2 linked regions of the Lonchura striata genome follow. The protein of the gene in region 2 purifies or fractionates together with the protein of the main gene of each other region. This does not show direct contact. Links are inferred from orthologs where the notes say so. Each region holds a gene or a part of one and is shown on either strand. Other genes may lie near its edges.

Region 1 (16,476 bases), on a different chromosome or scaffold from region 2:
TTTCTAAAAATATTTCAGCTGATCTCTGGCTTCAGATTTCTTTGGAAAATTTTGGAATTTTACATTCAGCACCCAATCACAAAAAATAATGTGCAGAGAAATGGCCAGTGCTTACAAATTGAGGGTGGATGTGCTCAGTTAGATGGGGCTTATGTTCAGTATTATATTTTAGACTACATGACCTTACAAGTAAACTCTGCCTGGCACATAGCCAGTTACACACTAAATGCTTTCTAGGGCTTTTCTTGAGAGAGAAAAGTAAGATTTGTATGCACTGTATGAGTACTATAGTACCTTTATAGTACCTTGCTACATAGTTAATGAATGAAAGAGGAGTAAAACTTGCCACCTGATCAGGTTCTGCTTCAGAATGATAGCCATTGTGTCCATCCTGAATCTCCTGCTTTGCATGAGGCAGCAGTAGGGCAAGAGAGAAGTAACAGCAAAAAAATTGCAGACAACAGGTGAAAGGACAGAATCTTATCTTTTTTTGTTTCCCTTTTTAAAATTTCCTTAAAAAGACAGCATATACTTTAACTCCAGTTTAGCTTTCCAAAATCTTCCACTCCTGGCACAAACTACTTTCCACAGAAGGGAATCCAAGCTATTAGCACCATCCTTTGAATGCTACTTGGCACAACACAAAATGAAAAATTTACTCCCTTTTTCACAAAAGAGTCAGTGCTGGTAGATAAGAACATAAAAGTATGTACTGTCTTTTTAAGACAAATAACCTTACAATGAAGAAAATTAATTTCAGTATGCAACATGCTTATCAATAGAAGAAATTGAGTACAACTTGCAATGGCAGCATTATGGAAAACTCATGCAATCTTTCACAGAAAAAAATAGGTCGACATCAAATAGAAGTACCTAGACACTTAAAAAAGCTTTGCTGTGTAAAACATGTTGTAACTGAACTCTCAATCTTACAGTTTTACATATCTTTTTAGTAACTTCTATGTTGTTGTTTGAAACTTGGCCAGTAACTTTACAGAATCTAAAATTACTATTCATAGCAAAATATGCAAACAATTCACATTTTCATGGTAATTTATTTTTGCATCATTGGCAGCAAATCCTGAACATTAGTTCAATTTCTTTAATAAACATAAGGTCCTTTTGCACACTAGAGAGAAGCACAAATGTCATCGGGTCAGCTGAAAGAATTATTTTAACATGTTCAGCCAAAAATGTTCTTCCGTCTTCTTTCTTTAACAACTGGAGAGAAGCTGTACTCATGACAGTCTATTACTCCCAGTTCAAATGCAAAGAACTTCTCACTTGGTCAGACTGTAAAACCAGCTTCAGTCTATATTTACAAGTGTTTGTTAGAAGTTAATTTTTACAGTATTTCTTCAGAACCCTCAAGAAACAGTTTAGAAGGAAAACTTCAGATATCTTCAGATAATTTGAACTCTACATGCGTTAAAAAAAGTTGTAAGTAATTAAAAAACCTTTTCAAGTTATAAAGTTATAATGTCACTAACATTTAGGTATGGGTAGAATTCTGCCATCTAGAAATTACTTAAATTTCAGGTCATAATTATGTTGTTTCTGAAACTGAAGAAAAGTAGACATTGTGATCTCTGGAAGAAAACCAGCAGGACAATGTGCGAATACACCAAAAAAAATTTAAATATATGGAAGACAAAAGCAGCAGAGCAGACCGTTTAAATATCAAAGCCTTTACATAGAAGTGGGAACAACTGAACAAAACCAGTTTTTGTTACTCAGAGTAATTATTTGAAATGCTATCTATTCAAAAGAAAACCTAAGATCAATTTGTGGATTTGTATGATTGGACTAAACACATCATTTTAAAATAGGTAAACAAGAGATGAGAAAAAGAAACCATTCAGACTTCATCTCTTGGTTTCAGACTGAACAAGAGGTCTTTGTTGAAATAGAAGTGTTGGACGCATTTCATGAACAATGTCAGAACACTATCCAGATCATTTCTCACTCCATAAATGTTACTAAGAGAGAGGGGCAAGAAAACAAAGCATGCCCTTTTTAATCTTCAATAAACAGTGGGCAACTCCTAGACTCAAAATTATAATTAAAAAGATGTATGTCATTGCACTAGTGCCTAACTTAAACCTAACTTTCAATCCTATCACAGCTTGGTAAAAACTAAATTAAAACAAGTACAAAGGCAAGCATGAATTTGGAACTTACTTAAATAGGACAGACACAGACATAATGCTTTTATCACTGGTATTCTTTAGCACAGACATGTTAGAGCTGCTAACACAGTACTCTGCAGTCTGAAGCACGTAAACCTGAACTGCAAGCATCCATTTTGTCAAAATTAATGTAACAAAACTGAAGTTAGTATTGCACATTCATAACGTAATTTTAAAATATTGCTCTCTTACATACTGACTTTCATTGCTCATGAAAACATTGTAAAGTATATAAAGCACTTTTGTGGCAAAGAAGCTCTAGCACTGCATAGCAAAATGGCCTGACTGGTTCATAAAACCCACTAATGAGGTAAAAAATGCTTGACACACCAAGATCTCACACAGCACAAGAGACACACAGGTAGGAGGCTGTTCACTGCTAGCCAAAGGTAATCTTACCCGTATAACTGGCCTCCTGTACACCTGTTAGTTAAAATATAAAATAGCATCCAATGAAACACATAGATTTGATTTGTTAAAGATACTACATCTTATTTCATCAGATTTTCAAAAGAATTCGACTCCCAAACATTTTAATTATAGCTGGACTTTGAAAGAACAAAGCAAAACTATGCAGAACTAGTAACTCTCATTTGCAGAATTGTTTTGGTCTAAAAAAAAATCTCAGACACTTAATTTTAGTGATGCAACAAATTCCAAGCTCTTTGAAAACATTCATTCCTAATCACCCTCTTATCCTGCTACACTGTGCTATTGTTAAAAGAGAAGAAAGAGCCTGGTAATCCTTCTAGGTGGAAGACAATAAGCCTGCACTAACAACCATGAAGGAGAGGCACCCGACCTTTCAGAAAAAGACAATTCTTCTCAACTTCTGAAGGTGTTTGTGGTTAGCAATCTGAGCCATTTTCATTTATATGAGCCCCTCATTCAAGAACACTCTGCAGGCAGAGCATGTGTCAGAAAAGACACACAAAGCAGAGCTCAACTCAGATTGAGATCACTGTTCCTGTAGAGCTTAGCAAGCAAGAGCTCCTCCAGTGCTCTCCAGTTTTGACCACTCCATTAGCTGCCCCTTTGCTTCCCTCCTCCCTGGTAAGGTAAATCACATAAGAGTAACATGAAGTAATGCTGTTAGGCACAAGAATCAATATATTTACCTGGTTTTCCAAGCATATTAATTTAAACAACAAAAAAAGAGAGAATAAAGCAACGAGTTCCTGGTAAATCCAGCACAAACTAACAGAACTGCCTGACCAGCTCCAGAAGAAAACAAACCCATCTGGCCCGATCTGAAGGCTCTGAGTTGTAAGTCTCTAAATGCAGCAATTTGAGGTAACCAAAGGTAATGAAGACCCAAGAAAGCACATCAAAAGAGAAAGATGTCTCAAAGGAAAACTGAGCTATCATATGGGCATTGTCTTTTCGTGTCTGGATTCCATAGCAATAATGAATGAACACAACCTGTTAGTGGTACTGAGTAAGCAACTATAAAAAATTCCATCATGTTATATACAAATATGGGATTTCAAATCACAGCAATGAGATGATGCCAAATACAATTTATCCACAAAAATTCTTAATTTAATAATCAGGCTTAAATCCTTTTCTTCCATTTCTCAGAGATAGAGAATGAAGTAGAATTTTAATTAGGCCTTAAAAGATTTATTCCTGTTAAATAATACCTGAGATGAGTTTGGTATAGAGATGGAAGTTACTCAAGATTGAATAGTGCTCTTCATTCCAGAGGAATGAATTTTACTCAGAGATAAACTGAACACCAAGCTTATACACATGGGTTTTACTGAAATGAAACCCTTGGCAAATACATCATCAACAGATGAAATGTAAGGTTTCTCACAGTGTTTTACCAAAAAAGATGGCCTTGACCTGGAGGAAGCATTTGCAATTCAGCTGCTGTAGTATGGGAGATCTACTCTTTACAAACTGCTGACTGTGCCAACAGTGTGAAACTCTGCTGAGGTTGAACTTTAAACACACTACAGCCAAAAACATTTTTTGGACTCATCTCAGACTCAGGCTGAATCTTACCTGCTGTCACTCAATCTAAAATATGCTGTTTCCAGACAACATACTTTGTAATCACAGAGCATATGTGAATTAAAATCTAGTTAAAAGGAAACAAAAAAAGAGATAAAAACCTTCCTGTGGTCACTCTCTATGAAGACAATAAAACTGTTACATATCTAGGAAGAAAAAAGGATCTAGACAGCAGCAAGTTGGGCTTCTTAAAGGGAATTGAAACATGGGTAACTTTTGTCACATTGTGAGAGGAGAAAAACTGCCCATGGTCCATTCTTGACAGCTGAGCTGAGTGGCTGCATGAAGGGAACAGGCAGTCAGTGTGAAAGAACAGGGGCACAAAAGCACAGTGTAACTCTGAGAAACCACACTGTGCAGTCATTACCTTGGTGACAAAAATGTTAAAAATGTTGCTGGAAAGGAATGAAAAAGGAGACTTGTTTGTTTGATGTTAAATTCTGTGTCTCTAGAGAAACCCCATAAAAATCAGACTCAATTATGTTCCCTGCATAGTAACTAGGACATTCATTTATTTTTTGTGGAATCTGAGGAGTTCAATTCTGTACTCTGAATAACACACACTAGAAACCATTTCAACCTTTAACTATAATCTACTTTACTAATTATTTTACATAGTAATCAAAAGAAAAGACAACTCACTTATGATGTTTTATTCAAAACATTGACTTTTAAAATTTCCTTTCACTTCTCTCTTAATTTTTATTCTGTAGACTTCAATGGCACTATTATAAATATGGAGGAAAACAGGAAGCAAATTCAAGAGACTCCAATTCATAATGAGATGTTTCTAGTTCTGAAATACTCAGTGATCACTCAAGTACTTACCATTGGCTAATCAAGATAGAAAGGACTTTCCCCATCTTCCACTCTTGTATCTTAAAACTATCAATGCATTCCTCAAGTCACTTACCCTGTAGTCTCTGGACACACTCTCTGATGGGACAGACCCTGAAATCTGACTCGAAATGGTTGCAGCTATCAGCTGTTTACACCATTCCACGTGGGATCCAGTCGGGCTACAAAACCAGAAATTTCAAATTATTTAGCAGTAATTTAAAATGTGTATTTTGAACAGCACAGATCCAGAAAGCAACACTGTAAATTATCACTAACATCATAAAACTTAGTTTACCTTGTGGGCAGAATACAACTGTTTTATTGATCAAATTATGTAAAAGAATTTTACTAGATCATGTCAGAGACACAGAGCTGTCAGGGGGTTAAAAGTGAGGTTAGGGTCCTAAGAGCATAGAAAATGTTCTGTTTCTTATCCAGTGTAATTTTCACCATTCACATGCTTTTTTCTTAAAGCCATCCACGAAAAGAGTTTGGCCAAGTAATAGGAAACTCCTTATACTGTCCTTATGAATATGTCCTGGTCATTCAGTAAATCCTCAGAATTTAATTACTTCATGCTAGTATTAAAAATTTTAAACTATGCTAATATTGTATTCTATATTAAATGTTGAAAATACATGTTTTTTAAAGGGCAACTTCTAGTTAACTGCAGTTTTTTCCAATTTATGAAATAACCCTGGATAATCTTCAGGCTGGGCTTTTACATATCACAGCACTGAATTGTACAGCACAGAGTGTTTACAGGAACCCCAAAGCATCTGAAATGCACCAAAGCCCAGGTGATGCAATTTCAGAACAGCCCCCTGAACCAGTGCTGCTCTCAAGTAATGCAGTACTGACAGGGAGAACCAATGACAGTCTTAAGTGTACTAGGTCTGCTGCAACACTCACTGGTATCCAAGGAAAAACTGGGAATGCCAGAGGGAACTGTTCCCTGAGTGTTACTGCAGCTTCAGACACTATCTTAGATAACTGCCACTTTTCTTCAAACCATTCAGCTGTGCTTTCCTACAGATTGAATGCTTATTCAGTAGTCAAATACAGAAAGAAAAAAAATTTTGTTTGTTTTAGTTAATTCATAAACTACCTTTGTATGCTATGAATGCTCCATGACACTGAAGTGAATATACTTATATATACCCAGCACCCAGCAGGTGCACCACACCTCAGACATTAAGAGATTGGGTTAACAGCCTTGGATGACCAATTCCTACTGAAAAAGAGGTTTTTCCTTATGTTAACTCTGCCACTATAGCTAGGTGTAAGGCACAGATCCAGGCAACAACGTCACACCTGAAATGGAAGATCTTTCAAAACTTTTCTGATTAATTTTAATAGCTTTCTCCCCACGTTCACATTCTACACAAAACTAAATCTCACAATCTTGTTTTGCAACTAAACACATCTATGATAGTCCTGCTTGAACAACAAAGACAACTCTCAGGCTAGTGCTGAACCTCAACCCAGATTTAGAGAACTCTTCACTTAAGTTCTGCAAAAGAGTCCAACACCTAAATCCTACAGAAACCCTTTTCTTATCTCATTTATTTCTCCTTCTTTCACATCTCTTTAATCTCCAGTGTAGCTCTTCCAGGGCTTGCCTAAGTTTGTTTTCAAATAAGCACTCACTTGTTAATTAAGAAGGGGATTTATTTTTCTATGGCTTATCTTCACAAAGAATCACTACATCAACAGAGCTAATAACAGCAGGAAAACGAATATGAATGCAGGCCCATCCCCTGAGACCAGGGGACGTGTCAGTGTTCCACAGAACACTGATCACACCAGTGTGCCTTCTCCTATGCACCAGTGGGACACACAGCAGCACTGACTGCCTTTGCATTGTCTCATTTGCAGTCACACACATTAGCCTGGCCTGCCACAACCGTACTGGCAAATAAGTGAACTCTATGACAAATGGACATAAAACTGGCTCAGGAAAGAGCAAGATCAGAAAAAAGGAAAATGAGAATTAGGATAAGGAAGTGCATTAATAAGGAATACAAAGGGGTATACTTTTATGACAGAAAATGGACATTTGATTTCCATCCTCACTAGAATGATGTAAACCACCAGATTTCTACTAAGAGAAAAAAGAGAGAATACAGAGACTGGAACCTAGCACTGATTTAAAATATTCTTTTTTGTTCAGTTTTCATCAAGGTGAGATTTCCATTCACTTGTATTCCATGTTAAAGTATTTTTAAGCTCAGTTCTGTAGCCCACCTTCAGCTGAAAACTTCTGAGTGAAGTAATGTCTCTGCCAGTGGCTGCCAGAGGAGATGTGGTCCCACTTGGCACCGCCCTGGTGAGACCCTGTGGACCCACCACACACCCTTAAAGACACACACCAGGGCACAGTGCACACACTGACACACAGACACACACCAGGGCACAGTGCACACCCGGACACACAGACACACACCAGGGCACAGTGCACACCCGGACACACAGACACACACCACGGCACAGTGCACACACTGACACACACACACACCAGGGACACAGAGCACACACTGACACACACACACCAGGGCACAGCGCACACACTGACACACAGACACACACACACCAGGGACACAGAGCACACACTGACACACACACACCAGGACACAGAGCACACACTGACACACATACACCAGGACACAGAGCACACACTGACACACACACACACCAGGGACACAGAGCACACACTGACACACACCAGGGCACAGAGCACACACTGACACACACACACACACACCAGGGCACAGAGCACACACTGACACACATACACCAGGACACAGGGCACACACTGACACACACACACACACCAGGGCACAGGGCACACACTGACACACAGACACACACACACACCAGGGCACAGGGCACACACTGACAGCATTCCGGGACACACTGCATACTGAGAGGCACAGCGGCGCCTGGGGACAGATTAGCGGTGCCCCTCTGCAGATTAAATATACGCACGGGAAAAAAAACCGCAAACCAACGAGGAAGAGCCTGAAAACCCGCGGAGCTCAGCCCCCGGTCGCGGCTCAGGTTTGCAGGACGCTGCCACAGCCCCGGGCCAGAGCCCCGCGGCCGCCTCAGCCTCGGCCGAGGCGGCGGCACCGCCGGCACACGGCAAGCGCAGGAGGAATCTCTGACACGGCCGGGTCCCCGCCTGCAGCCCCAGCTGCTCGGCCGGAGGGGTCCGGGAGGCCGCCCCGAGGCCGGGGGACCGCGCTCGGCCGAGGCTCGGGCCGAGGGGCGCCCGCCGCCTGCCCCGGCCGGCCCCGCAGGCCGCGCCGCCCGCTCTCCCGCCGCCCGCTCCGCCGGGGCCGTCCCCGGCCGCCGGCCCCGCTCACCTGTCCAGCGTCTCGGTGCTGGGCTGCCGCGACCCCGCGCCCGCCGCCGCGGCGCCCCCCGCCCGCACGGCTCGCCGGCTGGCGCCGCCGCCCTCCACCGCCGGCCCCGCCGCCGCCGCCCGCTCCATGGCTCCGGCCGCGCCGCGGGGATGGCGGCGCCCTCCCGCCCGCCCGCCACAGCCCGGCCCTCCCGCCACAGCCCGGCCCGCCGCGGCCCCGGCAGCGCCGAGCGCTGTCAGCGGCGGCGGCGCCTTCCCAGAGGCCCCCGCGCCTCCCGCGAGGGCGGGCGGGCCGGGCCGGGCGAGGGCCGGCAGCTCCCGCCCGCCCGTCCCGCCCAGCACGGAGACGCGCCGCGAAAAGGGCTGCTGGAGGCACGGGGTTCAGCACTGACATCTTTATTGTCCCCTCCCCGCACATACACGGCAGACGGAGGATGTTCGCCCAAGGCCCGGCACACAGGGCCCGGCTGCAGAGCAGTCCCGCGGCATCCACGGAGAGCGGCCCACACGGGTAGTGAGGAAGGCAGCACTGAGGAGATCCTGCGCTGTTACCGAGCGCGTGTTCTCATGCATGACAGAATGCTCGCTGCGACACAACACCTGAACTCAAGGCAGAGGTTAACAATACATCAAAAGGAGGTAGCACACACGCCACGTCTTGGGTACAGCCGTAACTGATGCTGGGGGGAAGGGTAAGGCATGAGCAAATAAAGAAGGCATTCAACAAAAACCTTTCTAAATAAGTAACAGAAACCCATTTAGCTTAGCTTATTCTTCTCATGTCCGTGGAAGGAAGAATACAAAAAACCTAAACTAGCATTCCAAGACTGACATTTCTTACGGGATATCGGGCATTCATTGCTGGTGATGATGACACCCCAGCTCTGCTTTTTCACCCCTCCTAGAAAAGGCACTCAGCGCCTGCAAGTTTCATCACGACCTCAGAAGCTTCCCCGGGTGTGCTCCTGGCAGGGATGAGCGTGCACAGAGGACGGGAGGTCTGTGCAGAACAACAGCCCAGAACACCCAGTTACAGGGGAAGGAGAGAGATGTTCTGCTAGCATTGGTAAGTTTGTATGCCTACATTCACAAGTAGTATTTTCCAGAACATACTGGATTAAAATCACCTTTATGTTGGTCTCATATGTAAAAACAATTAAAACATGTATCTTATTTGCTGACTTGAAAAATTCCAAGCCCGCACAGAGCCATGTTAGAGAGCTTTAAAGACAAATTCGGCTGAAGAGCAATATGAACAAAGTAATACGTAATAAAGTAAGTGCAAAAAGATCCTTTCCATTACATTACTTTCCCAAATGTAATAGGTTATCATGTAGTGTTTACACAGTAAAAACTATTAGATTTTCAGAACTTTTTCACACCGCTCAGAGATGTCACCAATATGTTAAACTCAAATACAGAAATTTTAAATATTCTAATAAAAATAGCGCTTTTTTCTTTAAATAAACCACAAGTAAGTAGAAGGCAAATATACCAGAGTATGCATAGCTTTCAAAATGTAAAATGCATCATGGACAACTAAGTATCCTTCTTCATTTATCTGATGCAATGAATCTTAGCAAGTCATGATTGGGGGACAACATTGTTATTTTGGATACACATACTGGAGAGCATAGATGGGAGAATGACATTTAGAGGACAAAAGTCATATAATTCTGCATATTTAGAACACACATGTTGTATGCTCTGAACTTCCCTGAAAACATAGTACAACTCAGTGCATATACTGAATTAAATCCAGAGGCGGTATATTTTTATTCCTTTGAAAAAAATACTGTTTTAAATATTCAATGTCCTCTAAATTTTGACTTACTTTATCCAACTATACCTTTAGATTTAGTTTTCATATACAAAATATTTACACTTTATAAACTTGCAGAATTTCTAATAAACTATATTATATACACTTACACAAAACTTAATTTATATATAATCCTATTATATCTTGCAGATCAAAACTCACCACATGTACAATAATTTACAATGACAGAAGCCTCAAGCATCAAAATATTTCCTTTAAAATAACAATATTAGAGTCCTTTACAGATTCTGATTTGTAGTATTTCCTGGATTGCTTGAATATCATTAAACTTCTGAGAATATGCAAAATTTTAATTAAATATCAACAGCAAAGTTTGTACTGTCATAAGAAATGCTTGCAACTATTTAAAAATTACCTGAAAGGAACAAATTAAAGATTTATAAAAAGTCTCTGAAAGGCAGGCTTGATACTAGAACTCACTTGAATGTTCAATATAAGTGCACACACTATATGCAAAACTTGGATACTGAAGCCCCTTAAATACTTTAGAATGAATTTGCTGAACAGGAGTTAAACAGTAAAGTATAAATGTACAAGTTTTCAAAATTATTTATGACTGATAATTTTTGTCTACTTTGGTATAAAAGCTCCTTGGAACAGGCACATTTATGTTTAGAAGACAAACAGAAGCTTTAACACTATGGCTATTGCTGGATATTTAAGAAATGTCTCTGTGGTTCTGTTTTTCATTTTATAAACCTTTTGGAAACATTTAATTCTGTAATATTCCAAGATAGTGATAATTTGTACTGTACTTTAGTGCTGAACAGCTAGTCCAAACAGAACTTCTCAGAAACCAGTACAACTTTAATTTGTTTTTAAAAAAACTAAAATCAATTTACAATAAAAAGCTCATTTTATTTTGCTATCTACTGAGCTATTTGAATTTTTTATTTAGAAGCATATCAGTGAAATGCCTTCCATATTTCTGTTTATTTAAAAAAAGGAAAATCTGGAATTTTTGGGTAATCAAAGTTTCAACATTTTTCTCTGACACCTTGCAAATTTATTTTTCTCTCCTGAACATCATGAATGTATTCCTAACAGGAATAAAGATATACCTAATTTTATACAACATCAATATTCCTATTACCATTATTATGTTTATTCATGACATGTAAGACTGAGCATGAATTTCCTTACTAAAATGTAATAAATTAAAGCATTCTTATGAAAACAATAAATCAATTTAATTTCAATTGTACCAGACCTACCAAAATAACTCAAAGCCCTCCATGGCTATGAGCTGATTAATAATGTTCCCAGTCCACAGGTTCTGAAAGGCACATAATCAAAGAGTTGGGTTTGTTTGTTTTGAAGTCCTCCTCAAATGAAGACAGTCTAAAATAATTTGTGTTAGGACAGTCTAATGTAAGGCATTAGAATATTCCTCTTTATGCTATAGATCTATGTTAAGCACCACTTGCTGTTACAGTATAGAAAGAAGCCAACATTTTCTTCAAAAATGTGTTTGTACTTGGGACACCATTTGTGAGGGAGATGTTGATGAGGCTGATGAATTGGATATCTTAGAATTATTTGTGATCTGAAGCTCTTCAAGTCTCCTGATATAATCATCACGCAACGCAAGGAGCTCCATGTAGCGCTGCTCCACGGGGTTTGGCTGCTAGGAAGAGATCCACGTTAGTCTTAGCACTTCACTCCAACTACTTGCACACAGGCTGCTCGAGTAGCCAGGGCTTCCTGGCAGGTGTAGCAGTCAGAGCTAAACAGAAATACCCATTGCTGTAACCTGAGAGGCCTCGGCCTTCCAGCTGCCTCCCCCAAAGTCCATCTTTGCACAAAATTGTTTGTCCCAACTCAGTAAAATCAGCTGGAACATATAGATTTTATTTTCTTGTTAGCTAATATTGTGTGCAAGATAGTTACTTGTATACCTTGACCAAAGATTTTTTCTTGATTTACTAAAAGGTTTTAGAGTCCAGAAGCCAAATGTCTCAGCATCTTCCCTAAAACAGTAGCCTGATTATTTTAGCTACATTGATCAGATTGAGATCCGTGTCTTCAGCTTAAATAACTTCTCTCACTGATTAAATTGACTTGAGTTTTTAATAGTTAATTTACAACTTAGTGTAAATAAACAAGTGAAATAAAAATTTTTATTAGTGAGTTCTCTAAGTAAACTTGCACGTGTTTAGAATCAACTGCTCTGGCTTTCAGGAGATTACTCAGAAAAAGCCTTTTAACTGTTTCCACTTTGAACTTAACTTCCTTTTCAGACTAATGAAACAAATGGAAAAGAACTATTACAAATGTCCAAAGCAGAGAGAGAGAGCCTAAAGTTACCTTCAGCTGAATATACCTGTCTAGAAGTTGTTTCGCAGTTAACTGCCTGTAATTCAAAGCTATCAGCAATGGAGTTTCAGCAGCAAATGCTTGAACACCTCACCTCACCAGTTCAAAACCAGTTGAACCAGCACTCTGAGATGCACCACTCACTATGCACCCATCTCAGGATCAAGATGAATGCTGAGGCAACTATGGAAACTGGATCAATGCTGAATACTAAGATGACTGGTGATGTAGGATTATAGTTTTGCTAGCAGAACATAATTCTAAGGAATGGCATTAAGAAAGGTAATAAAAAAATGGTTCAACCCACATGTTCATTATTCAGTTGCTTAACAAAAGATGAAATAATTTTACAATAAATTTCACATGCAGAAAAAAAAGTTGCATTTTGTGTACAACAATGGTGAAAATTAGGGACCAGTAGTAGCGTAGTGCTATAGGAATACCGTCACTTGGGTTTGCATTTCTAAGGAGAAACTTCTGCCAAAAAGCTTTCCTGAATAATGGCAAACTGCATTTTTAAGTAGATCTACAGCTAATTTGCATGTCTTATAATCCTTCACTTTCTAAAATAAATCTTTACATTCACTTTTTGCAAAACATACTCATCTTTCACAGCAAGCAACAAAAGCTTTAAGACCATGACTTTCAATTCCAATAGGCAATGTACTTGTAAAAAGCCATAGCAAACTACCAAGGCTTTCCTGAAGCCTCTAAAGTGCTGTAAATAATACAGGAGATCAGCTGTGGAAAAGGAAGTGTATTGCTTGAAAACTACTGACTCATTCCAAGGGCTGGACTGTGAAGAGTGCTTCTGTCAAACAAATTGCTCCTCTATCTTCTCCTACTCAAATCTCCACAAGCTGTTAAAAAGGACAAAAAAGTCTCTATATAAAATCTTTATGTGCCACATGGCTGAGATTTCCAGCAGGACTGTAACAAACACTGAGTGTCCATCCATATGGAGTAAAGCCACAGAAGTGAGCTATGTGTCATTTGATAAAATCTTTTCTGGACTTCCAATCTGATCTACTTGTACAATTTTCAATAACAGCTTTCATCCACAGTGTAAACAATGCTGGGTCATCAATGTTACATAAAAAAATTAAATCTTACCATCAATTCGTAGAGCTTTGGAAGAGAAAGGCTCAATGACTCAACAGGTAATTTAATTTGTAAATTGTTTCATACCCTCTCTCAGCAAAAGGAAAAAGACCAAGCAAATGCAAATGTGTTTGTGTTGCTAATGCCCCAGCTCTTCAGGGATCAGCAAGCCTCATTTCTAAGCATTGTCATTCAGGATTTAGTAGCAAAATGCCCTTGCACATGTGCCCAAGAAAAAGGGCTAGAAAGAACTCAAGGAAGACTTGCTACTAAGCAGGGAAATAAGTTCAATGAGCTAAGAGACAGCTAAATAATTACTTACACTTTTTTTCTCTATCTTTACAAATATAATATTAAAGACCTGAATAGATTACAGGTACTGCTCTACAAGTCAGTTATGACAAAATCCTTATTTCCAATGTCCAACAGCATTTTCTGTACATTATAGAGAATTCACTTACTTGTTGCCGAATCCTGGGGTTCCACCTGATGTAGTAATTAACCCAGAGCTCTAAATGACGCATGCTGGCTACTGGATAGAGTGCTCGATTTAGCTCTTTACTATAAAAAGGATTGGTGTATTTAGATTTTTCACTGTTTATCAGAGACCATAAGGATAAAGTTTTCTCTGTCACTTTCTAAAATGAAATCAAAATAAGAACAGTAAATACTGACATAAAATCAAGATTCATCATAGAAATCCATCATTGTTACATTCTAAAATTAGTACACTTCTGGTTTACTTAAAGGCATAATAAATTACTGTATTAAAAAATTCCAAACCCAATGCTTGACAAGTATTTTAGTGACTGCATGGCAGTATTCTGTATGAAGAAAGCCAGTTCAAAATCACTGTCTGCAAGGACCATAACCAAATACAATACAACCAAAAATTTTGCAATCACCTAAAGACAGCAATGCAATGACACAAGCAGTGGTTTGACTAACCTCTTTTTCTCTGAGGAACTCGCTGTTATACAAGAAAGTGCCAAACCGGCAGCTGTACAAGTGATCCAGGATTGTAATCAGGAACTGCTCATTGAATTCAAAGGCTGTAGGAAACTAAAACCAGGAAAGACAAACTCATTGTTTACATGGAAAATGCCGGGGAATATGCTGAAAGTAACGTTTAGAAGTGTGGATACCTCTACAAAAAATTTTTTAGGTAATACTTTTATGTATTTTATAGCAGACTAAGTGTTCTAATGACACAAGGTGTTCAGCTTTCTCAAACAAGCCACTGAAAAATCTCTTCTCAAAGCATTCTACCTACCTTTAATTTATAAAAAGAATAAAGTACAGAATGGTACTTTTACTAGCAAGACAGAACAAGATCTCTTCAGTGCACTCTTACATTGCAGCACCATACAGGAAAATAAAGGTCCCGATCCTTTAGCCCTAAGTGGACTAAGTTCACTGCTTTGTTTCATTACTTACTGACATTAAAATGTTTAAATCACAGCACTCAGAAGCTCCCTAGCTTCCTTTTTAAGCATAGATAAAATAAGACATGTCCTTGCAGTTCAAGGGACAGCTTCACAAAATGGTCAAACAAAACAACAGATTCCATTAAGACAATTGGGTGCAATTCCTGTAAAAGCTTTCTGCCGGGTGTGAAACATCCCTCAGAATGTCTCTGAGAATCCTGTATCCAGGAACACCAGCCATGCCTGCACAGCTAGGGCCATATCCAGCAACATAACCACAGCCTGTATATCACTTTCACCAAGGTAAATGCACTCTTTTTTTACTACTGGTCAGAGCAGAGGGGTATGCTGTCCTCTTCAAATACTTTTTTCAAAAGAAAAAATAAAGATGTTGGGTTTTAGTTCAGTAATCTCTTCACACTGTTACCTACTGAAGAACAACACCACATACCTGTTTAGACATCTGCCACACACAGTCAATAAACTGGAGAAAGATGGGCGATCTGTCTGTATCAGCATGATTTTTATCACCATGGCCTATTCTCTGAAATGAAGCAAAGCAGCCTCCTGTTAACTGAAACATGGTATTTTATGGAAACAGACATGTTTTCTTATTTTGTACTCCAGCATTAATTCTTTTGCAATAAAGCAACCCACTGTTATAATTTCAAAAGTAGTTACTGCACCAAGGTAGAGAGACTCAGATACAGAAATACTGCAAAGCTGTTCCAAAGATATCTGAAAAGAATTCCAAACTGATAAATGGTGCTGTTATAAAAACCTGCTGATTTTTAGACAAGAACTGTTGAAGCATCCATTACTTGAATAATCAAGACATATTCTGAACTACATTTACATGGTAAGTCTGTCAAAACCCAAGTTGCATACTTTGTCTTCTTTTTTACTTTAAGCCACTGCAGGACCTAGATCATCAAATTATTCACACATAATCTTTTTTTTCTCCTCCATACCAGAACCTTAACATTCACCTGGAGATAGTAGGCAAACATGAACAAGATCAAAAAAACGTTCATGTTCTTGACACAAAATTATTAAAGTTTGGGTGAGCCTCTTATTCTGAAGTGCCCAAAGTAACAATCAAAGGAATTTGTCCCACTGACAAAAAGCAGACTTGGTAAAAGCTGTTTTACTTCCTTTTTGCATATGATAGCTGAGAACAGGTAAGAGATTCAGGGAAAAATAGTTTTGCATTCCATAATTCCATTCTGTTTGAATGTACTTGCTGGAGGAGGCAAAAGAAAAGCAGGTGTGTTGACCTAAGATGTTGTCTATCTGCCTATAAGATAGCAAGCTTAATGCCTCAAGGACATGAAGAATCATAAGAGCAGTACACTCCTCTCTATAGTGGCTTGC
Region 2 (16,102 bases):
TTCAAAAAAAAAAAAACCCAAAAACTTCATGGCACAGAACAATCTTAAATACCGATGCATATCTCGTGATCCACACACACCGCACTTATAATTAACAAAAACCACGTACAATTGCACTTTTCCTCTCTGTGACGTTCAAGTATATCGCAGTCCCCGCAGGGACTAATGAGTGTCCGATTCCCTGCCGGGTGCACATAACGCAGAGGGTAGAGCAGATGTGGGCGGCCTGTCCTTGCCCACGGCTGACGCGCACCCTCCGACCCTCGGGGGCAGAGGGCGAGGCCGGGGCCCGTCGCCCACCGGCGGGTCCCCCCTGAGCATCCCCTCCTCGGGGCGGCGGGGCGCGGGAGGGCGGCCAGGGCCGCCCGGCCCCCGGGAGCAGCGGCGGCGCCTTGGCGGCGCGGGCTGCGGCGGCTGCGGAGCCGGCGGTGCCCGGCCCGGCAGGGCCAGAGTCCGTGGCGGGCGGGGGGCGCAGCGTCCGCTGCCCTTCTCAGCTCCCCCGAGGGCGCGCCGGGGTCCCGCCCGGGCAGACGCTCTCCGCGAATCCTGGCGGATCTCAGTCCATCCGTCGAGGCGGCCTCGGCCGGGTCTTGCGGCGCTTCAGACTCCCAGGACGGCGGCGAGGGGCTGCGCCCGGCGCGTCCGCGGGCGCCGCCCGGAGCTGCGGGAGCGCGCTGGGCTGCGGCGCTCGGGCAGGGAGCGTCGCCGGCGGCCGTAGCCCTGAGGACTGATCTTGTTTGGAGGGGCGGCATCGTTCCTATCGTTGACGGCCGCCCTGTGGAGCTCGTCGACCAGCCAATGCACCGTGCACGTCCCGAAGCGGCACGCCTTTGTTTGGAAGTGGGGGAATCTGTTAATGCTCTGGCGGTAGCGCTTGACGCGGATGTGAGCATCCTCCCGGTTGCTGCAGGAAGAGAGAGAGCGCATGAGAAGAGCGCAGTGGGGGCCCGGAGGAGGGGACCCGGTGGGCGAGGGGAGGGGAGGGCAGAGGGCCCCCAGGCTGGAGACGGGCTCGTCCCCACGGTGCCCAGCAGTCCCGGCTGTGCCCTCCGCGGGAGCGCGGAGCACAGCCTGCTGCCCATGCGAGGAGAGGCCCCGCCGCTTTACGGCTGTTACTTTTCCCTATGCATCCAGGGCTCGAGTTACTATTTATATCTGACTTTCACGGCAAAGGCGCTACTATCTCCCGCCAGCTAAAGAGCGCAGGGAAAGGAAGGCGGGAGGCTGCTTTCAGCGCGATGCGCAGCCCGGACAGGACCTGCCTCTGGGGCGGGGAGGATCTTCAGCGAGAATAACCCTAAACACCCGGAAACGAGGGGACCCCGAAACTTTCCAATGTCTCGAGCAAGTGCCCGAACCCAAGAAGGGCTGGAATTTACCTGGAAGGCGAGACTCGGGAATCCTCCTTCACGTCCTGGGTGCGTATGAGAGGCAGCACGTCGGCGGCTGCCCCCAGCCCTCGGAGCAAGCCCGCAGGCTTCACGTCCCGCTTGGCTCGGCTTAGTGCCCATTTCGTCCATCTGAAAGAGCACAAGGGAAGAGGAGAGCCTGTTATCGCAAGTCTGCAGGGGCGGGAGCCAAACCAAATAGATTCGAGAGGCGAAAAACTTTGCCAGCGCCGAGATTTTTTTTTCCTTTTTTTTTTTTTTTTTCTTTTTTTTTTTTTTTTTTCCTCCCCGCAAAGTTTCCTGAAAGGGCACGAGGCCTTTAAGGAGCTGAGCAATTCCTGCAGGGAATCCAGTGCCTGTGATCGCTGCCGGAGCCAGGCGCGGGGGCTCGGCAGCTCGACGCGCGGCGCGGGGCGCTGGCAGGAGGGCGCGCTCCGATACTCACTTTCTTTTGAACTCTGTCGCTACGTCCACTCTTGCAGCATCCACCCCGAAGAAAGTCACAGAGCCGAGATAGAGCAGGGCTACGTGAAGTAGTTTCATTCTGGCTGGGCTCCTGCTGGAAGGGAAAGGGCAGAACTATAAGCATGCTTGCTAACAAAAGTCAAGTAAGGACTGTCCTTTATTCCTGGTGATTCCAGAGACCTCCTTCCCTCGCAGAGCCCCCAGGCTACCGGGGACTTTGTGTCTGATATGAACCAGAAGCTAATATTTGCTCAACAACTTATCACAGAGTAAATAACAGAGCCTCCAAAGTTTACGTTTGTCGAGAGTTTAGTTGCAGAGGCGGCTGAAAACCAGCAGGATTTCCAGAATACCCCCAGCGGCTTGCACTAGGATTTAGCAAACCCACAGGATCAGAGAGAGCTGGCTATCGGACGCATCGTTTCCAAACTCCAGCAAGTGTTTTGATGCCGGGAAGTTTATTCCCTGATAGCTCCTCTTCCCAATTCACACGCAGAACCAACTGGTTCTGGATCTTATGTTGTGAACTGCAGCTGATGCCAAGAGCCAGTGCAAGACTCCACAGCATAACTCCAAACTCTTCCAAACAGTCCAAATTTAGTAGAATTTTACTTGCGTTCCACCTCCCCTGAATCTTTTGTTGCTGCCAAGGACGGGGGGAAAAAATAGCTCTTACCTGACAGTGAGGATAATCCACTGAGACAAATGTTTTTGTAGTAGCGATCCGAGCTCGCAGGGTTTCCTGAGAAGAGAGAACTCCTCCTTTGTGTGTATGTGTGTGTGTGTGAAGTAATCACTGCCGAGCTCTGCGCTCCACTGCTCGCTTTTATAGAGCAGCGCTGAGAAGTGGGTGGACCTTGGCGTGGCTGGGCGATCTCTCTTTTGGCACCCCCCACCCCCACATTTCAAGCACTCCTTAAGCATTCTGACCTGGATTGGGGGCAACACGGAGGGGGGAAAAGAGGATTATTGAAAATTGTCTTCAACAACCCCCTTGGTATTTTGTTAATTATAACGGCAGCTTTTAGGATCCTGAGTTATGGCACAACTTGCAAAATCCGATGAGCCCCTCAGCCTGTTTTACTGGGGACAGACATTTTAACCGTCAAAATATAATTATATTTATGCTGTCTGTAGCATAATTTCTCATTCTAGACATCTTAGCTTCAGGTGGGTGAAAGCAGGGGAGTGGAAACCGGATTCAATTAAATCTAAAATCCATGAAAATCAATCAAATATCAAAGTTCCAAAAATAAACCCATATTTGGACAACGTGAATTTATGATGAGTAACTGGAATGACAGCCTTCTTTACATAAGTAATGAGGTGGCAAATCGGGCATCATTAATATTTATGACAACTTGGGTGCATTTTTTATCTAACAAAATGAATTTTATTTACTTGATCGATTCAAGTAGATCACGACTCAAATGGTTTTGGCAGATGAAGGTTAGAGGCCAGTTCTGTGCCTTGGAACAGAGCAAGTGGCATTGCTTTCAGGCAAACACAGGGTCACTGAAGCGCCTGGGGTTACGGGCGCTGGGAAGATCCGCCGTGCCTTGTGCTATTCCCTATCCGCAAACCTCACGGACGTGAGTGCGGTTACTTCCCGGTCAGATAGCTGAACCAGTGCAGGATCGGGGTCTCTTACAGCGTTCTCCTGGCTGGCCAGCAGCAAAACCTTAGTCTGACCACCTTGTTGTTGGGTTTTTTACAGTCTTTAACGCCTTTGCTCCGTGACGCTTCAGAAATGCAGAGGTCCGGCTTCGCAGGGGGTGCTGGAAGCCAGCAGCGGAGGGACCGTGTCTCCGCTTACTTGTCGCAGTGCAAATTCGGCGGGACCGAGGGAAATGCCCCGGGAGATCTGCGCCCTGGGGCGCCAGGGTCCCCTGGCCAGCGAGAGACTTTCGGCGGGAAGGAATGAGCTGGTGAGATGTTCCTCTCGCATCTTGCCCCAAGCAAAGCGTTTCAAAAGTCAGGTGAGTGAGTGTGTGCTCGTGACTGTGCCTTTCTAGATAACCGCGGTATATAACAACACCCCGGAGAGGTATGTGCAAGGGGGATGACGGAAACTTTCCTGTGCACGGCTCACTCGGTCTAAGGCGCTCTCTTCCCTCCCTCCCTCCGCTCCCCAGCAGCGTCCAGACATCTGGAGCTTTCTGTCTCCGGCATCTACCTGTGCGGGACAGGCTGGCCCGGCAGCCGGGGAGGGCCAGCACTGCCTGTCGCTGCTCCCCATGGCACCAGCCGGCCGCCCCTCTGCCCCGAGCCCCCTGCGCGGCTCTCGCGGGGCGAGGCCGGTGCCCCGGGCCGGAGCCGGCCGCCGGGCGAGCCCGGATCCGCGGTCCGCCGCACCTGCCCGGCCGAGCGCGGGGCGGAGGCGGCGGCGGCCCCGGAGCGCCGGCAGCCCGCGGGGCTCGCCCCGTCCCTTCCGCCCGCAGCCCCGCGGAGCCGCAGCCCCGTGCCCGCGCCTCGGACCGGCTCCGGAGCACCGACGGGCAGAGCGAGAGGCTCGGGGGGAAACAGGCAGGAAGAAACAGGCGAATAAGTGGTCTAGAACGGGACCGGATCGTGACCAGAGCTGCATCATCCCGGGATGGCTGGATTTTAGAGACCTCATGAGCCAGCTCAAGCTCGTGCGGGTTCAAGCATTTCCTTGATTAGCAGAAGTTGAAACAGAATCTTTTTTTTTTTTTTTTTCTCGAATGAGAAGGCAGGATTTTATGTGATAAGCATTGCTTTGACTCAAATTAAGTCTCCCATTCCAGTAAAAAAAAAAAAAAAAAAAAAAAAAAAAATCACATATTTCCTCAAATGCTGGAAACCCCCTCATTAAAATCCTTGGCTTAAACGGAAAGTGTATTTTGTATACTCTAAGCCAAACAATGAAGAAAAAAATTCCTAGTGATTTAGGATCATTAATAACAGTAGTAACACAACTCTCATGTGCCTTCCATACTGACTGTAACTATCATCTCAGTGATACAAAATTACTTCAAGTAAATTCATGAGGTGGCAAACTCTGACACATAGATGATCAGTTTGTTGCTGATATGATTTGTGAAAGGGCGTCAGCAGGTAAAGCTTGTTCAAATCTACCACAAAACATCATGTTCTTTGTTCAGATGCTCATTTTGTTCTTTCTATGAACTTGCATTCTCATGCAGTTTGGAAATGAGCAATAGTCACTAAATTGGTACTATGATGTAACAGTGGCCACTTAAAAAAAAAATATACCACAAATAGTTATTTCCTTAAAAAACAGACAAACAAACAAACAATTCCACAGAATGTTCCACAGCAATATCATTCACAAGCTGTGAGTCTGAGGCAATGCCAAGCAGTTCAGCAAGACCACTGTGTGATGTGAAGTGCAGGGTCTCCTGGATGCTGCCTCATCCGTGATGGGAAGCTGGCCTGGAGGAGCAGCCAGCCCCTGTTTACTGCTTATCTTGGGTGTACCATTCAACCTCTTAGTGTTCCCATACAGAAGACTTTACAACAAGTATCTGCTCTGCCAGGGACATGGTGAATATGAGTTGCTGTTAATAGAGAATTTTATTCAGGTTGAGATTGATTAGAAAAGGTCTAAAATCTGTGGGTAGCAACGGGGAATCATTGTGAGACAAATATTCTGTGCTGATTATGGAAGAAAACTGTTGTTTGAAGCCAGTGGAAGTGCCTTTGCATGTTTCACTTTGTTTAAACAAATTGTTCTGAATTCATATGCCATGAGTATGAATAGACTGGATTGTATTTCAGGCTGCATGAAATCAGCAGAAAGATAATACTAATAGGAGAATGGCACCCCCTGAAGGATGTAAAACCTCAATCAAGCTCCAAACAGAAAAACCTTACTGTACTCAGCCAGTTCTCTCAGTGCCAAGAGCACAGCAACAAAGGGGTGATTCCATTTTGGTAGTCTTGTTGGAGGTGCTTTGGTGAGCCTTATGTCTGACAGCTCTGACTATACCAAACAAAGCCTCCAAAGTCAGTGGGGGATGTCTATTGGTAGGGGAAAACCTGGTCAGGGACATGGCTGCCCCCTGTTCTGGCATAGGTTGGGGTGACACTGGCTAGAGACTGCAGGCAGTGTGAATTCCCTGTTTCCTGAAGGAGGAGTGAAATGTAGAAGGTATTGTGGATGTTCACACCTTGTTGTTGGCAAGTGCACAATGTGAGTGTGGCAACATTGTCCCTTGAGTGCTTTCAGGCTCTTGGAGAGGCTGCAGCCTTGCAATTGTTCCCCTGGGTTAAGTACATGAGTAGGGGCTTGTGGAGACCTGTGCCTTGGTGTCCTCTGTGAGCCCCTGCTTCTCCTGTGAGGAGCCAGGCTACCCTGCTGCAAGTGAAGGAATGGTGGTCTGGATGAACATTCAGTTTAACTTTCCATTAGAATTTAGGTGAACAAACACTGTATCTGTTCCACTTCTTCATAAGTCCTAAAAGAATGTAAGATTGCTCTATACTTAAGGGAAGTTGCCCAAAGAAGTTGTGGATGCCACATCCCTGGAAGTGTTTGTGGTGTGGTTGGATGGGTCTGAGCAACCTGGTCTAGTGGAATGTGTCCCTGCCTGTAGCCAGGGGGTGGTTGGAACAGGATGTCTTTAATATCCCTCCTGACCCAAACCATTCTGTGATTCTGTGAATAAATAAGCTCAACTGAACTTTCTATTTCTTATTTAAGACGTGCCACTTCTTATAAACTTTGGCTGTCCTGATCTAGATGGCAGAAGGAGCAAGGCTGTAAAGTGAGCACTATCATTATTGCAAAATCACTAAATAAACATCTTTCTCTTAAACCAGCATTTATTAAGGAAAGGTGTGAGTGATTCTCTCCTGCTAGAGGTGCTGTATTAAAAGGGCAGTGAGATTTTACTATTGAGATTTGTTATTGCATATTGAACCTTTTTATGGATGCAGATACAATAACTCTAAGGTCCTATTTCAGCTCCAAATTAGGTAATTTCTTAGTGTCTTTAAACTTTCGCTCCAGGTTTAGATGTACAAAACATTATCCTTTGTTTTTGTGAACTGTTGTTGTGTCCTACAACCAAAATGCCTATGCACAACTTAACAAAGATATTCCTACCTAACTTCTAGCTAGAAGAAGTGACTGATCCCACAGAGTGCATCCCTTTCTCAAAAAGTATGGTCAATCTTTTTGATGTATATATGACACATTTTTCTTTACTCCTAAACAAGGAAATGTATTAGGATTGGATCTTTACACATGTAATTTTCTTCAAAACAGCTAAATCACGAAGCTGATGACTCCGAGGAGATGTCAACCTCTGCCCTCCGCTGAGAAGGCACAAGTGGGAACACTGCTTGAAGCTTCCTGTCAAATTTGCATCTGGCTTAGCAGCAAGACACTGCATCACCATGTCCCAGCTACGAGGTGTAAGAACGGCGTGTTTGAAGCAGAAATGTCTCTGAGACCACTAAGGACTGTTTGCTGGGTCAGGGTGGATCGTCAGGAGCCAGTTTGCTGCACTTGCACACTCAGCCCAGCATCCACGACTGCTCCTCGCTGGAGCGCAACCCATGTCCTCTGCGCTGGCTCTTCTGTGCTGTCATACGGGACATACATAGACGCTTATCAGAGTGGTTTCTGCAGGCTCCGCCAGCGACCCAAGCGCTGCACTGTCCGCGCGTGTAACCTCAGCATCTCCGCGACTGCTGGCAAAGTCCACTGTGCTTTCGAGGGCCACGGTCCTAAAGGCGCCCGCCTCATCTGCACGTTACAAACAGCACCGCGGCAGCTCCCGGCGCGGCCTCGCTGAGCGCCCCGGCGGCCGCCGCCCGTGCCCGGGCCAGCACGTCCGAGGTCCCGCGGGTCACGCCGAGGCGCCGCTGGGCAGCGCCCGCGGGGAGCAGCGGGGCCGGGCCGGGGACCCGTGCCGACCCTCGGCACCGCCACGGAGCTGAGCGGGGCCGCGGCACGGCTGCCCCCGCACACCCCGGACAAAGCGTGACCGGGACACTTCTGGAAGCGCAATCCCCGATTCCCCAGGCCGGGCTGGCGGGGCCGCCGTTCTCTCGCCGCCGGCTTCCATTTCCGCGGAGGCTCGGCGAGGGCGATGCCCGGCGCCGGCTGCTCCCCGCGGGAGCGGCGAGCGCAGCGCCGCTCAAACGCTTGCGTCTCCCCGGGCACGCGGAGCGCTCCGACCCGCCGCCAGCGTCTGTCGTAAGGGGAACGAGCCCCGCGCCCGCTGCCCCCGGGCGGCCGCCGCGCAGGGGGAGGTTGCCGGGAGACAAAGCCCCGCGCGGGCGGGGCGCGGACCTCCCCCGCCGGGCCCTCCCCGCCCGCGGGGGCTGCGCAGGGAGGCCGCGGCGGCGGCGCGGCGTCCCGGCACGGCGGTCGGGCCGGGGCAGCGGCACTGCGGGACGGCCGGGCCGGGCCGCCCCAGCCCCCGCCCAGCCCCGGGGTCACGGCGAGCGGTCCGGGCGGCGCGCAGGCGCACGGCGTGCCCGCGCCTCCAACATGGCTGAGGTGGTGCCGCTCCTCCTGCGGCGGGCGCGGAGCGGAGGATGCTGAGCCTGCCCCGAGCCGCCGCCGCAGCCGCTGGGGTGGTGAGGCCGAGCCGCGCCCCGCGCAGCCATGGCCAGGCTGGCCGACTACTTCATCGTGGTGGGCTATGACCACGAGAAGACAGGTAGGTGTGGCTGCGCGCAGCGCTGCCCCGCCGCGCCTGGCCGCTCCCCGCGCTCCTGCCCGGCCCCGGCCCCCGCCCGCCTCCGGCCGGGCCGCGGGAGGAGGAGACTGCGGCGCGCACGGGGCGCGCGTCCGGCCGGGGGAGGAGGGGGCGAGCCAAGGGTTAATCCCCCTTGCCCGACGGGGAAGCGGCGGGGCTCCGGCACCGACCGGCCGGGGCAGCCCCGCCCGCCGGGAGCGGCTGCGGCTCCTTCCCGGGAGCGCGGGCAGGTTCAAACGGGGCCCGCGGCCGTGCCGGGCCCGGCGGCCGGAGCCGCGGGGCAGCGCCGGGGCTGCCGCTCCCCACCTGCGTCCCGCCGGCCGCGGCGCGACAGCCGCGCCCCCCGGCAGAACAAAGGCTGCGCTCGGCGAGCGGCGGCTTTGCCCCGTCTGGCTGCGCACCCATCGCCTGTTGAGCGGGGCCGCGGCCCCCGGGGAGCGCCGCACGCCGAATGGGGACGGAATGGGTGCTCTTCCTAAAGCCTCGGGATGCGCCCTGCCTGCTGGGGGGAAAGGGAAGTGGTGTTATCTGCTGGCGTTTTGTGGGCAGAGAGAGAGTGGTTTGTGTTACGTAACTCTCCGTTATGGTACCAGCTTTGTTGCTGCAGAGACCTCAAATGAGTGTTTAAACTGACTGGAAAACGAAGTGATCGTCAACTGGATTGTGTTTGTGCTGCGTATTTCAGAGCGATCCTTTGAATGTATGTTGTTAATAAACAATATTTTAAACAGTCGAATGTTCCCTAATTTATTTGACCATGCATAAACCAAACAACACTCAAGTTTGTTACTCAGAGTAATTCTTTGAAGTAGCAATTGCGTGTCATCTATATCTGTTCATTTGAAAAGTGCAGCTAATAAACTCAGATCATGTTTTTTTTTTTTTAAGAAATACAATTTTTAGAGACATCATTTTATTTGTGGGTTTAAAGATGCAATATCTTACAAAGTTCTGCTAAGATGTCTTGGATTTTACTATTCTGCAATTATCATTCTATTAATTACATCCTGGCTTCCTCTCCCACTCCATTTGATAATAGGTTTGTCCTAATTGTACTGTCAAAATCAAGCCGTGTGAAATAGGAAGTATTTTATTTTAAAAATAAAGACCTTTTGTCTCTCTCCTGTTTGGAACATTTCCCCTGACAAAGTAAAGAGAACCCAAATCAAAACAAGCAACCAGAAAACCCAGATGTGCTTTTAAGAAGACAAAGCAAGTAGGATGCTTAGGGTATGATCAATCTGACAGAGTATGTGAAGTGAAATTACAGATTGCATTGGAAAGCTTTATGTCTGTAAAATGTCTTCATCTGTGGCATTTAAATATGTGTTTAACTTCCTATACATAAATTGTCTCATGAAGGTTGGTAGAATTGCTTGCATGGGTGAAATTGAGCAGATTCAGAAATAAATTCTGAACCTTAATTTAAAAAGGTCATGCCCAGAAAGTAATTGTTTAGACTCTATTATTTAAATTACTTGTTGCTACTTTAATGCTTCGTAAGAAAAATGCTTGAAGGAACAACATTCTATTGAAGACTAGGCATGCATTGTTTTCCAAATTCCTTTACCCCCACATGCAATCCCATCATACATGGAGTACTGACCTTTATTTTTCTTAAAAAACTAGTTTTTTTGATGCACTTATTATGCTTCCTGTTATATGAAAAGCAGGGACAAACATTTCTAGGATTATAGACTAGCTACCCTTGAAACTTTTATATTTTTAAGTATGTTCCTTTTTTTTCTAATTTTTTTTCATCTGCATCTACCTTCTGGCTTGGTTTTAATGTGCTTGATTTGAATGCTGAGTGTAATTACATTTTGCAGTGTTTTCCTTTTCCTTTTTTTCCCAGGCATAATCTGTGGAATAGCTTTGTGTAAACAAGCAAACAAAAATGTTGTACCCTTCCCCCCAACCTGTGTGTCAGCAGCATTTGGGTGATAAACATTTGTGGTTTATAGGGAAGGGTGTTTATAGTAGTGACTGCTCTCCCAGGAAAGCCCCACTGTGTCTTCTGGCTCTCCTCTCACTGCTTTTATGGATTGATTTACATGTGCCAATATCTTACCCCTGAAAATGTGGTAAAGGTGCTGATTTTCTGGCTTTACTCAAAAAACATTTGCTGTAAATATCTAAAATGCAGTGTTAGTGCAGTTTAGGAGCAGATTGGTCGATTTTTCTTGTTTTGGAACAACTTTGTTACTGATGGTACAAGTTTTTATCCAGCGTAGTCTTCGGGGGAAGTGAAGAGTTTTACTGTCCTTGAATAAACCAGAGAGTGTCCTTTGGGAATCAAGCTTTTGAAAGTCCATTCCTATTCTGGTCTAGGCCTGTGTAAATTGATGTTACAGCAGCCCTAGAGCTGCCATTCCTATTGTGTTAAGTCTTCTTTTGGATCCAGCTCACTTTAGGATACTGACCCATCCAAAAGACCTTTCTTGCTGGGTGTGTTACCTGTGTTGCTGCATTGTCCTTGAATGACTTTCCTGCCCATTTTTCAAACAGTGTTGGCTCATCAGGATGTCAGATGAATGCCAGTATTGGCATGAAGGAGGGTCAGGAACGTGCTGACAGACAGATCAATGCACCCTGAATTTAGATCAGCCTAAATGGTCCTAAAGCCTTGGGCACAAAGGTGTTAGTGAGGTGCCTTAGTCTCCTACCTGCTCCAAGGAGACCAAGGGGAGTCCCTGGATCATTTGCCTGCCAGGCAGTTCATTTGTGCTTGGCAAGTTGCACAGAGGCTCTGCCCGGGAGGAGAAGGAGCTTTGCTGTTGACAAGTGTCAGTGGAATTGCAGGCACTTGGGAGTTGGGAAGGCTTTGTGTTGTTGAGGATGACCTGACTCACCCAGCTTTTTCTGTGTTTCAGGTACACTGCTCTGTATTACCACTTGAGTTGCTCGGTCTGTGTTTCTCACCATAAAAGTGAGCTGATCATAGTTTTGATGGCTGTTTTGTATTTTAAGATCCCGTCCTGAGCCACTGCTCAGAACGGCAGCAGCAGTAGCTGCTGGCAGCAGTGTGTGTTAAGTGTCCTGACAGCGTTGGAGAAACCAGATTTATAAATCCCCCAGCTTTACTAAACTCCTTTTTTTTTTTTTTTGTGGGTTTTTTTTTTTTTTTTTTTTTTTTTTTTTTTTGTTCTAACAGTGAAGGCATGAGGGAGGATTTCAGGGACACTTTTTCAGAGTAAAGCAATCAACCTTGGTGTATTTTGCCTTCAGCTGAACCTTGGCTGAGGTAGATAACCACATTTCCCCCCCAGCATATCAGCACAGTATAAAGCTGTTACATAACTGGCTACAAAAGGCACTTAGAGAAGTCTCTGAAAGGAGCAAAGGTGCTACCAAATGTAGGCATTCTGGGTCAACAGCTAGGAGAAATCCCAGGAGGCATTACTGTTCATGCATTTTATTTTTTTCATGGGTTTTGAAGTGTGTTTGATGTGCTTCACCAAAAAATTCTCATTTAATATGTCTGAATAATGGAATGTGGATGGGATTTAGGAAGAACACAGATGTTTGTAAAGATCACAGAAGGGCATGAGAAAATGCCTTTTTTTTTTTTTTTTTTTTTTTTTTTTTTTTTTTTTTTGCTTTGCTGGTATAAGCCCTAATGATAAATTTATCCCTAGAATGTACATCCAGTGATACTTGGAAAAGGTAAAAGAGAGAACATGCTGTGTCTTCCTTAGCTCAGCAGCTGAAAGGTAAGGATAAAGAAGAGGGGATCCAAAGACTGGATTTGATTAATTATCCCATACACCTGTAGCAGCTTTCCTGTAGGATGCTGTTTTGTACCCAGAAGTTAAAGGAGAAAACCTGTGAGGTGGAGCAAGATATTTTCTGTGAGGTTTGGTTGCTCTAAGAGGACAGAGAAGTGCTTTGCTCTTGATTCTGTGTGCAGTTGCAATGTGTAGGACAGAAGGCTTGCAACAGTATAGCAGTTTAATTTGGCTGTTGTCACAACTGATAAATGCTGGTATAACATGTGTAGGCTCTGTTGTGGTTGTTTCTGTTCTGATTTTTATCAACTCCTCTTCAGGGAAGCCTTTATTGTGTAACATAGCTTTGTATCTCAGAGGATTTTGAAACAAGACAAGTGATTGTTGATGGAGTGGGAGAAATTTCTAAATGGAGTTGTCTGATTCTTTTGTTTATTTTCCCGTGAGGAGATTTTGCCTGCGAAGAATATAATATCATGAGGATTTTCTGGTGTATTTGCTGTGTATTCACAGATGGGCATTCCACTGAGCTAGTGTGTGTATAAGGAGTGGATGATTGCTTGATGCCATGACATGCAATCTCTGTAAAACAAAATGTAGAAAAATAAAGGAATAAAGCTGTTACTTCAGTGGCTTTCTTATCTGTGCTGTGGCTTAATTTGATTCAAATGCAATCCAGGGAAATCTCAAAGGGATTAAAAAAGCAACAAAAACTAAATCCTTATTATGGCAGGAGAATTTTTGTAGCTGGGATGAAGCATCAGATGTAGTGCTGGAAGTGGAGCAGCATGCAGGAGTGTGCCTGGCTGCTGCTAGGAGATGGCTGCAGGTGGCTATGGCTGCGTAGGGCATGGCAGCCCAAAGGACTTGCCAACAAATTAGTTGATCAGTCAATGAAATTATGTCTTCCTTGTGCTTTCCTTTTCAAATACAGCAGATTCCACAATACTGTACTGAAACAGAATGAGGAAAAAATATTTCCATTGCATATGGTTTTGTTTGTTTTGATTGTGGTGGTTTTTGTTTCTTTGTTTGGTTTTGTTTTTTTTGTGAGATAAAGCTCTCTTGAAAGTCTGCTTGGAGGACCCCCAGTATTTTTTGGTAGCATGTATTCCTACAGATATTCAAGCAGTTTCTTCTAGTACATAATGTTGACTAAATTATTTCGATTTTGGTTTATGAATTTATCATTTTGGAGAAATCTTAAAATCAGCAGAGATTATGGAGATCTTCTTTCCCTTACACGTCTGTAATGAACGTTTCTAAAGAACTTGGATTTTAGACTCTTTACTCACTCAGTCTTGCCATTATAATATCAACAACAATAAAAATACTTCTTTTTCAGCCTTTCATTTTAAACTGAAGTATTCCTGGAGGCTGATTTTTTTTTTTTTCATTGTAAGCTGTCTTTATTTGTTCTGAAATATGAGGACAAAGATTATGTTCAGGGAAGTAGCATTTCCTATCTTTGTGACTACATTGCAGTCAAGGAACTCTCTCTTCCCTGTTCTGTCCTGGATTAACTTCGTGGATTATCTGACAAAAAGACACTTTTCCTGCAGCCTGTTCATGGAAAACAGTTTGTTATGCAAGCCTGAATAATGTGTAAGCCCTGGCCTTCTATAACCACAATCATATTTTTCAGTGGAGGGACAATGAGACTGACATTTAACTTGTCCAATGTCCCAAACATAACAGTCTTGTCTTGTAACAGTGAGGAATGGAATTATGCTGCTGTGGTAGTTCTCTGCCATCAATTTAAAGTAGCAGCTACCTCCCCAGTTCCTGGTGCTCACAGAGGAGAACCACAGCCACTGTGGAATCATTTGTAAAATGTGTAACAGCAGATTCAGCCTCGATAGCTGTCAGTGAAAGTTGTATCCTGAAATATGTACTGGTGAGTAGGAGCTTTTCCTCTGGTTCATCTCTCCTCTTACTGCTCTTTGCAGTAGCATGAGAATTTCAGACTCCTTGCTTCTATAGTGAAAAAAATTATTTCTAACAACAGAATTATCAGTATTGATGAGATTAATTTTCTTTTGCTTGGTGTTTTGGGAATTGTGTTCCATTTATATGTGTTTGTTGAAATAAATTACTCCTGTGGTGTCAGTGGTATGTTCTGAAGTCGAGGACAATCCAATTAGTGTTGATTGGGATTTGGCAGCTAAATCCCTGCTCATTGAGCCAAGAACATGCTGGTTATTGCTGATCTGCTAGTGACTAGATAGATCCTGATTTCATGTCTCTAATGTTCACAGTTCTCAGTTTTCAGTCTTCTGCAAAATGAATACTATGAAAAAATGCAATAATTGAACAGAGCTTGAATTCTTTGTTTCCTTTTTGGTAGTGTTGTGCTTAAGGTGTCAAAGTAACCACAGAATTTCCACTGAGCTGGATGTGGCTGACGGGCTGTCACTCCTGCAGCCAGAACCAGCACTTGGTGACAGTATTATCTGGAGTTGTGTGTAGCTGTTGTGGAGGAAAGCTGAGATAAAGAAAAAACAAGCTCGTCATAATTCTGGATACAAATTCAGGATAGTTGCATGCAAAACCCCATTGGACCATGGGAGACCTCAGTGGATAAAAAGAGACAAAGGAATGTTACTGGGCTTACAAAATCAATCACTCAGAAAGAAATTCAAGGGGGATAAGTAGAAGGTAGGAATAACGTCCTTATCATGTCATTTTACCATGCTTCATATGTTGTTTCCTCAGATTTAAAACCCCAGAAAATCTATTATCTGATACTTGGATTGATCTTCAGCAAGATAGAAAATACCTTTTCTAAATGTTAGTGTCGGGTTGGGTCTGCTGGAATAGCAGCTGGAAGGAAGATGAGACATTCTGGCAGAGGATTTCTCAGATACTCATGGGTGAAAAGGGATGACAACTCTTCTTTCTGGAGCCTTGACCTCAGTTGTGGAAGGTTCTGGGTTTTGTTGAGCTCCTTTGGCCAGCTGCTGTAGACAGTGTTGGCAGGAGTATGGAGTGGTGTCAGACTCTGGAGTGGGCTGCATGTCCTGGTGGTTTAGGAACCCTTCATAAGACATTGGTCACTCCTCCTGCTTACTGTATTTGACACATTCTGGTACTTTAGAATGTTTTCTGTCTTTTGGGTTTACTCCAAAAGAATCTCTGCCTTATCATCTCTCTCACTTTCTCCTTCATTCTCTTGCTCTCAATATCCATTTAACTCTCCTTATCTACTCTGTGGTTTTCTGAGATGAAAACCACTTGGCCACTCAGTCTGGTTGCTTATGGTTTTCATATTTAAATAAACAAATTCCAATTCATCACACAAGCACCAAAGCCAGGTTTTGTCCCTTCTGTGAATTTTGGGCCTAAAAGTTAGTTTGTTGAATTTTAGTTTAGGTCAAAATAAATCCTTTTCTCCCCAGTCTTATTTCTTGGAAGCAGAAAAAGTATTTGGTATGAAATTTTACTGAAATAATAGAGCTAGAAACAGATGTCAACCATTGAGACTTTATATGATGCATTTAGTTTAAGTTGAAAAATAATTGAAAATAGTTACAGACAGCACCATTAGTGATGCCTGTAGCTGTTAGTTATTTGTGTATCTAAAAAACATCACACTCTTGTCTCTTAGTTTGTTGTAACTGCGCTAGTTAAAGCCCAGGGAACCTTTTAGCTTGACTAGTGTGTTGTTGAAGTCTTCCACAGTTTAAATTTGTGCATTTAGCATGTGTATTTTTGTTTTGGATGAAGAAATGCAGACGCTTGTCCTTTTTCGTGACTATTGTTCTCTGGACTGTAAATCTAATTCTAAATGGCAGTAAGAATATGCTGTATGTGTGACTAACAA

The links.
Region 1: the proteins of SBF2 (region 2) and MTMR1 purify together in Homo sapiens (affinity purification with mass spectrometry; 3 studies listed by BioGRID and IntAct, with this or other methods). This does not show direct contact. The link is inferred for Lonchura striata from reciprocal best matches to the Homo sapiens genes SBF2 and MTMR1.

Annotation. Positions count from the first base shown.
Region 1 is NC_134616.1:12,503,713-12,520,188, forward strand, and holds the start of MTMR1 (phosphatidylinositol-3-phosphate phosphatase MTMR1), read right to left. Parts: upstream 8,519-16,476; 5' UTR 8,417-8,518; intron 5,228-8,416; 5' UTR 5,122-5,227; intron 2,613-5,121; 5' UTR 2,589-2,612; intron 404-2,588; exon of another isoform or gene 347-403; intron 1-346. Other genes in the region: MTM1 (myotubularin), read right to left, coding at 11,718-11,885, 14,137-14,313, 14,624-14,737, 15,554-15,646. UniProt on the Homo sapiens protein: Lipid phosphatase that specifically dephosphorylates the D-3 position of phosphatidylinositol 3-phosphate, generating phosphatidylinositol. Could also dephosphorylate phosphatidylinositol 3,5-bisphosphate to produce phosphatidylinositol 5-phosphate.
Region 2 is NC_134608.1:51,959,291-51,975,392, reverse strand, and holds the start of SBF2 (myotubularin-related protein 13), read left to right. Parts: upstream 1-8,308; 5' UTR 8,309-8,457; coding exon 8,458-8,512; intron 8,513-16,102. Other genes in the region: ADM (pro-adrenomedullin), read right to left, coding at 601-904, 1,380-1,520, 1,834-1,931. UniProt on the Homo sapiens protein: Guanine nucleotide exchange factor (GEF) which activates RAB21 and possibly RAB28. Promotes the exchange of GDP to GTP, converting inactive GDP-bound Rab proteins into their active GTP-bound form.